Canis lupus familiaris: one gene and its partner. The protein of the gene in region 2 binds, or shares a complex with, the protein of the main gene of each other region. Links are inferred from orthologs where the notes say so. Each region holds a gene or a part of one and is shown on either strand. Other genes may lie near its edges.

The links. The genes of interacting proteins can lie anywhere in the genome.
Region 1: the proteins of KIDINS220 (region 2) and XPR1 are in contact, whole or in part, in a cryo-EM structure (PDB 9JXQ), measured with the Homo sapiens proteins. The link is inferred for Canis lupus familiaris from reciprocal best matches to the Homo sapiens genes KIDINS220 and XPR1. Residues at the interface, in NP_065789.1 of Homo sapiens: Glu36, Cys37, Gln39, Asp70, Trp72, Met102, Trp105, Trp110, Tyr113, Lys114, Val138, Ile142, Trp143, Gly146, Arg147, Ser166, Asp167, Lys168, Tyr169, Gly170, Trp176, Arg179, Lys180, Gln198, Glu199, Gly200, Ala201, Ser203, Lys234, Arg267; in NP_004727.2 of Homo sapiens: Leu95, Lys189, Lys190, Gln193, Glu197, Ala200, Asn204, Glu205, Ala636, Asp637, Asp638, Leu641, Leu642, Gln644, Met645, Met646, Asp647, Gln648, Asp649, Asp650, Val652, Arg653, Asn654, Arg655.

What each region holds. Positions count from the first base shown.
Region 1 is NC_049228.1:14,194,165-14,198,112, forward strand, and holds part of XPR1 (xenotropic and polytropic retrovirus receptor 1), read left to right. Parts: intron 1-3,496; coding exon 3,497-3,668; intron 3,669-3,948. UniProt on the Homo sapiens protein: Inorganic ion transporter that mediates phosphate ion export across plasma membrane.
Region 2 is NC_049238.1:5,992,743-5,996,014, reverse strand, and holds the end of KIDINS220 (kinase D-interacting substrate of 220 kDa), read left to right. Parts: coding exon 1-759; 3' UTR 760-2,468; downstream 2,469-3,272. UniProt on the Homo sapiens protein: Promotes a prolonged MAP-kinase signaling by neurotrophins through activation of a Rap1-dependent mechanism. Provides a docking site for the CRKL-C3G complex, resulting in Rap1-dependent sustained ERK activation.

The DNA of each region.
Region 1 (3,948 bases), on a different chromosome or scaffold from region 2:
GCATTTTTTCCTCCTAAAATGGAATATGAAGTGTCCAATAGTGAAATGATTTTGCAAATTAATAATAAATTCGTGAACAACTTAAGTACTTTTTACAAATTATTTAACCAGCTATGATAACATGTAGAACTCTATGAATTTCTTTTTCTTTTTTTTTTAAGAGGTGGTGAAACTATTCTTTTCCTGTAAATTGATAGTCAGCTATTTTGATTTTACAAAAGATTAGTTCTCTAAAATCAGCAAGAATATCTTACCAGAAAGCTTTAACTTGAGAAGCTGACTTGGATAATAATAAATTTATTTATAATAAATTCCATTTCTTCTTCTACTTTACCTATTTCTTAATGATCTCAAAATCCTGCAGTCTCAGCATTAGGATATAGAATTTCTTGGAAAAATAGTAGCTGCATTTTTTTTGTGATAGTGTAAGATAGCATGGGGAGGGGACTTCTGCTTACTCCTAAATTAAACCAGCTCTATTTTCAAAATTAATCAAGAATGCTCTTCTGTAATTATTTCTTGGGTTATGAATTACAACTAATAATAAAGTGAAGATTAGTGATTCAATTGACTAGTCTCTTTACATACTTTTAGAATTCTTATAATTACTATCTTACCTTTTTTTCTACCTTAGGAAGTATACTACCATGAAAACTGTAGTTTTAATTTCTTTTTTCCTTTTGTATGGCCCTTAAGTTTAGCAGAATGTTTTTGTTCTTAGCAATACATTTTCTGTATCTAGCATTGCTTAAATTTTTATCTGAAGACATGTAATACGGCTTTCCTATTAAAAAGCAGTAAGCACACAGCAAGTAAAAAGCCACTTATGTTCTAGTACAGGTTAAGTATTCATAGCAATCAGGAAAAGAAAATGGCCCAGATTTCTTTGATCTTTTTTCCCGCAAAGCTGATTATTATTTATTTGTATTTCTTATTTCCTCCAGTAGGATTTTTATCACAAATTGAGAATATCCCTCTTTTCCTCCATCATTAAGTATTAATAATTAAAAGAGCAAATCATTTCCATTAAGTATAGCACCACTAGCCTAACTTTGGGTCTAAATGTAGAACTTAGATGTGCAAGAGTATTTTGAAAAAAAAAAGTATGCAGTCACCTTTTATACATTTTGTCATCATTTAGAAAACATGCTTTTTAGAGGATTTTTTTTTAAGACACAAGAAAAATTTGAAGTTTTTTTAAAATTTAAACTAAAACTAAATCATATCCAGTTAGTACAATATTAGATTACCTTTTTATTTTGAGATTGTCATTTTATTGCTAGAATTTGTGGAGTTTTAAAACTTGCATAAAAATGTGGTATTCTTGTTACAAGGAAATAACCTTAAGATTATAAATATATAAGATTATAAATACCTATTGTCTCTTGCTTCCATTATTGTGAAATCTCTATAAAGTTGTTTTGAAACATAGTTTGAAGGACTCAGAAAACTCAGATGTTAATATGACTGTATTGCAATAACAGAATATTATCATTGTGTACATTGTGTTAAGTGAACATTTCCCCAATGCATCCTTCTCTGTTTAAATAGTAAGCTATGATTCATGCATGACCAGTTAGTCTTATTAGCAGAATGATTCCCCATTCAGTAGACATTTATCAATGCATCTGCTATGTGTTAGTAAATGAGGACTTACTGATGGAGTAGGTTGACAGTGATGATATAATAAGGAACAAGAGAATAGTAAAATGTACCATCAGAAGCAGTGCAGTGCAGAAAGAAGCATTGTGGTTTGTTATATTTGTAATAACATTTGTATACAGGAAAAATGTTGCTTATAGAGCATTTTAATATTAATTGACCAGTAGGTCTTACTGAGAAAACTTAACCTGAGACTTCTTTCTAGTGAATTAACAAAAATATTTCCACCCTAGTTATGTTTCTCTGATACAGCTTTTTAAAAAGTTTCATTATAAGTAAGGTACATTTCCTTCTTTTTTTTCTTTAATTTTTAGTGAAAAAGAACAAATCACCTGACCATAGTGGTAGGCACTGGATGACACTTATATCCATATTTAAATTCAAATTTATGTAATTTACATGCCATACACCTCCCCAAAAAAAGCTTTAAAAATTTATTATAAATTTATTTATTTTGATACTTACATGTCAAATTAGTAGTTTGTTTGCATTAATGATATAGCTTTTCTCTCTGGCTTATTGAAAGAGCAAGAGAATGATCAAGAAACTGAGCCATGGCCTCAAAATATATCAGCTCCAGAAAACACCGCAAAACCTTTACTATGCCCTGCAGATATCTGGTCTAACTTCCAAAGCCACAACCCAATTCCTTTCATAGATAGTTGATATCCAGGATGAATTCATAATATAGCCATTTATCTCCCTCAAATAATAAAGAGAAATGTTTACAGAACAAATAGAATCAGCCAAGTCTGAGGGGAAAGAACCATTAGTCTCCCATGCTGAATATGTCTGTTAAATGAATATAGCTAGGTGGCAAGAGAGCTGTAGATTTAGACTTATTTTCTTAAAACTGCTGCTCAGTGAGAATTCTTTGTTTTAGGAGTTCATTTTTGCCTGTTTAAGATAGAAAGGATCTGACAGGGTGAGGATTAAAGCTGCCTTCATTCCATCTTCACTTTCCTCAGGGCCTCTCAAGGCATTCTGCACAATTGGAGCCGGTTTCTGATGATTACATTAGTATCTAAGTTTTCCTCTCTGCAATGCCAGATTTCACTTTGCAGTGCAAAACAGTCTTCCACAGAATAGGTCAGGATGAGTTTGTTGTAGGTCTTCTGTAAAATGGGGATATGAATAGTACCAGGCTCATAAAATGGATTATGAAAAATACATTATGAGAAAAATATACAGCACAGATCAATGCTCAGTACTTTTAATATGAATTCATTTAACATCATTTTTATAACAGTGGGATATGGACTGATTTTTGTGGCATAATTTCAAGACAAATACCATTATTACCATGGCATTAGTGAAATGAAAGTGACTTTGGTTAGAGAATAGGCAGGCATGCCTCAGGTGATGTACCACCCTTCCTTTCCTATCTCTTGTAGGCAAAAGCTTTGTATTCAGTTAGTGAGATGGGAGGAGATTCCAGAAATTATCATAGCACGAGTCTCTAGCAAAATTTACCCTAGAGACTAACACTAGACATCCTCTCTGTGCTTCTACCTTCTGCCACCCTCTGCTTTCAGCTTCAACTCTTCCCACCCTCTCTGCTTTCTATTTTCTAACTATAGCTATGTCTGCCTTCTTTACCCTGCTTTAATTTCCTTTCTTGGTTATCTATTCAACTCATTCCCTTCACTACTAATTCTCAACCTAGTCACTGTTGCCAGGCTCCCGCCCTGTGTTTGTGATTGGTTTATTGGTTTTCATTTTATCAGCTAAAGTAATCATGCTGCATGATCAGACACAAATTAGAGAAATTTAATATGAATTTTCTTGTTTCTGTTTTTTTTTTTTTTTTTTTTTTCTTTTTTCTTTCTCCCAGTTTCGAGTATTTACAGCCCCCTTCCATAAGGTAGGCTTTGCTGATTTCTGGCTGGCCGATCAGCTGAACAGCCTGTCAGTGATACTGATGGACCTGGAATATATGATCTGCTTCTACAGTTTTGAGCTCAAATGGGATGAAAGTGGGGGCCTGTTGCCAAATAATTCAGAAGGTAGGGTATGAATGTGCATCCATACCCTAAACTGCCAGTGTAAACCAAGAAATACTGGGAATGAGAAATTTAAGATCATGGTGAAAACTCATCCAATGATATTACAAACTTAATTAAATGTACTTGGCACTCTTTTAGCAGTCTCTTTATCTGATATAATTTGGCTCTTAAATTATATGCTATGATTTTAGCCATACATTTGCCAAGAGATTTGCAACTTACACTTAGAAGAATTCTAAATCTAAAAAAAAAAAAAGTTCTAGTACATTGGTAGTTATAT
Region 2 (3,272 bases):
CCAAGTGATGAGGATGAATCTGGGACAGAAGAATCAGATAATACTCCACTGCTCAAAGATGATAAAGATAAAAAAGTTGAAGGGAAAGTAGAAAGAGTATCAAAGTCTCCAGAACACAGCGCTGAGCCGATTAGAACCTTCATTAAAGCAAAAGAATATTTGTCAGATGCCCTCCTTGACAAAAAGGACTCATCTGATTCAGGAGTGAGATCCAGCGAAAGTTCTCCCAATCACTCTCTTCACAATGAGGGGGCTGATGATTCCCAGCTTGAAAAGGCAAATCTCATTGAGCTTGAAGATGATAGCCACAGTGGAAAAAGGGGAATACCACATAGCTTGAGTGGCCTACAAGATCCAATTATAGCTCGGATGTCCATTTGTTCCGAAGACAAGAAAAGCCCTTCTGAATGTAGCTTGATAGCCAGCAGTCCTGAAGAAAATTGGCCAGCGTGTCAAAAAGCCTACAACCTGAATCGAACACCCAGTACTGTGACCCTGAACAACAACAGTGCGCCAGCTAACAGATCCAATCAGAATTTTGATGACATGGAAGGAATGAGGGAGACTTCCCAAGTCATTCTGAGGCCTGGTTCCAGTTCCAACCCAACTGCTATTCAGAATGAAAACCTAAAAAGCATGACGCATAAGCGAAGCCAACGTTCAAGTTACACAAGGCTTTCCAAGGATTCTTCAGAGCTCCATGCAGTGGCCTCTTCTGATAGTACAGGCTTTGGAGAGGAAAGAGAAAGCATTCTTTGAGAGAAACAAGCAAAAGCAGAATAGTATTACTATACCCCTATGACAAAATTGACCTGAGTTTATAATGAGTCCATCCATGTGCGTCATCTTTGTATGTTTCATTCACAAATAATGAATGGAAAGGTCTTTGGTAAAAGAAACACACTATACAACAAAGGAAAGTATAAGAAAGGGTGGTTTATTAATCAGCTTCCACTGTCTTTTTAATTAGGTAAAAACTCACTATTGTTATTGTACCTTTAATTGGCATATGACCCCCGCAAAATTTTTTGAGACAAGATCTGAGTATAAAGATAAGTCAGAAATATTTTCTTAGATGGAAAGGGTGTGAAAATAGAAAGGTAGAGACTCTCTCTTTGTACAACATTCACTTGTCAAATATTCAAAGGAAGACATGGTGTTAGGTGAACTAGAATCAAATTTTGCTCTTAGAGGGTAACAGATCAAAGTTTATAGGTTATGGAGTAGTCCAGAGACTAAATGCTCTATAAATTGAGAACCAATGTTGTATATAATAGACAAATTGTTTAACAAGGGCTTTAAAAATTGTTAAGAAGATGAATGAATAGTACTCAAAATGAAGCCCCAGTGATGAGACCTTTATGAGCTGCTAGGAGAATGGTTGTGGGGAGGGACCAAGAACCTCTTTAGGACCTGGATGCTCTCCTCCAAATCCTAGACCTGGCTACACGTACCAGCTTGAGAACCTGGTCTCTTCTGTGACTCTTTTAAATGGTGTGCCCAAGTTTCTTAGCCTACCAATGAGGAAAAACATGAATTCTTTCTCTGGAGAATTAGAAAGACATGGATAATAATAGGATATAATAAATATTCATGGACAAAAGAATGAGGAAATAATTATATCAGAAAGATCAGTGTCACTTGACAAATGACAAGGAAATATTAAATTAGGTAAAATTAAATTATTGCCCTCTATACCAGGGTAGAGTATATCTGTCTACTTCAACTATTCCAAAATTAGCATGCTGACCCTGGGGGAGGACCATAAGAAAGGGTATACTTCTCTAAAAAGTTTAAAAATGTAACAAAGCAAGAGTAAGAAAGCAGATAGAACTGATGAGATTTTCCATTTATTGTTAGCAGGGTTAAGAGAATGAGCACATTTAAGTATCATATGGACTAGAAGTGGACCCTGTAATCATGCATTGAATTTTTTTGTTGTTTTAGTATAGGTTATTTATGTAGAATTAATTTTGGCAGTGTATCCTCAGTCACAGATAAGATCATAGATGATGAGATCATAGAATGTGCAATTACCCAAATTTAGTGTTACATTTGTGATGGTTTTCACTTAATAGATTTTTATTAATATGATGAATAAATTATTTAGTTGACCAGTCAGTGCACTAAATAGTTGCTGTTTTGGGTTTCATTGCTTTGATGTTTGAGTATAATCTAACATTTCCTTAAAGTTTTATTTCGCATGACTTTAACAAATGTTTTTAACCAATTTAAAAAAGGCAGGATGTTATTGACATATATTGAACTGTTAACATTTTAGTATTTATAGTGCTTTCATTTGCAATATTGTATAATTAGTAATTATTTCAGAGGCAATATTTTGTTCTCTTTCCGGTGAGTAGATGCAGCCTATTATTGTAGTACATTCTTTACACTGTTTGTGAAGTTAATACTAGAGTATTAAGTGTACAAATAGATTTAGAAAACAATAAAAAAATTGCATGTTATTCTGACTCATGAATTTTTATTCACTACAGCGATGATTCACATTTTGATTACAAATAAAAGAGTAATTTGTGTGTTTGTTTTGTCGTACGTGTGTACAGTTTGTGAAAAATGTTCAGGTTCATGTAGCAGTCACACAGCTGGCTGTTTGCTGAGCTGCCCCTCTAGTCTTTTGGAGAGAGCATGGCTCCCAGGTCCTTGTGGCTAAATGGTGCTGTACCGCAGCATTAGTGCCCAACAGCATGACTCTGTACTGTGCATTTCTGTAGCTACAAGAAGTAGGTTGTCCGGATATCGATTTAATTATTGTATGAGCATTATGGAAAAGTTTTCTTTCTCCTCCTGCTACAGAAATTGACAAGCCAGATGGCTTATTGAGTCACACCATCATTCCTTTGAATCTGTGTGTCTATGTGTGCGTGTATGTGTATCTATTTATACTATATAGCTCAGTCTGATCCTCACATATACAAAACTCTGCTTTAAGCTGGGTAGAAAATGATAGGAAAGAAAATTGGTGCTTTAATCTTGCTAATCTTACTTCAATTGTGTATCACTTAGAGTTTTACCGTATTTTATAAGCCATTTTACTTTCACCATAAGCCACAGATAGTTCTGTTCATTGAACAGAACATTAAGCCCAGTCACTCACCTTGGACATGTGGAGGGTACATATGATTATGGCCCTCCTTCAGGGGATCCTGGAAATGGGAGGAGCTATTGACATCTCTCAATTGATAAACAGTTTTCACAATGCTGAACATGTGAGGTCAGCCCTCAAATTCTGGGAAATTTAAGCATTTGTA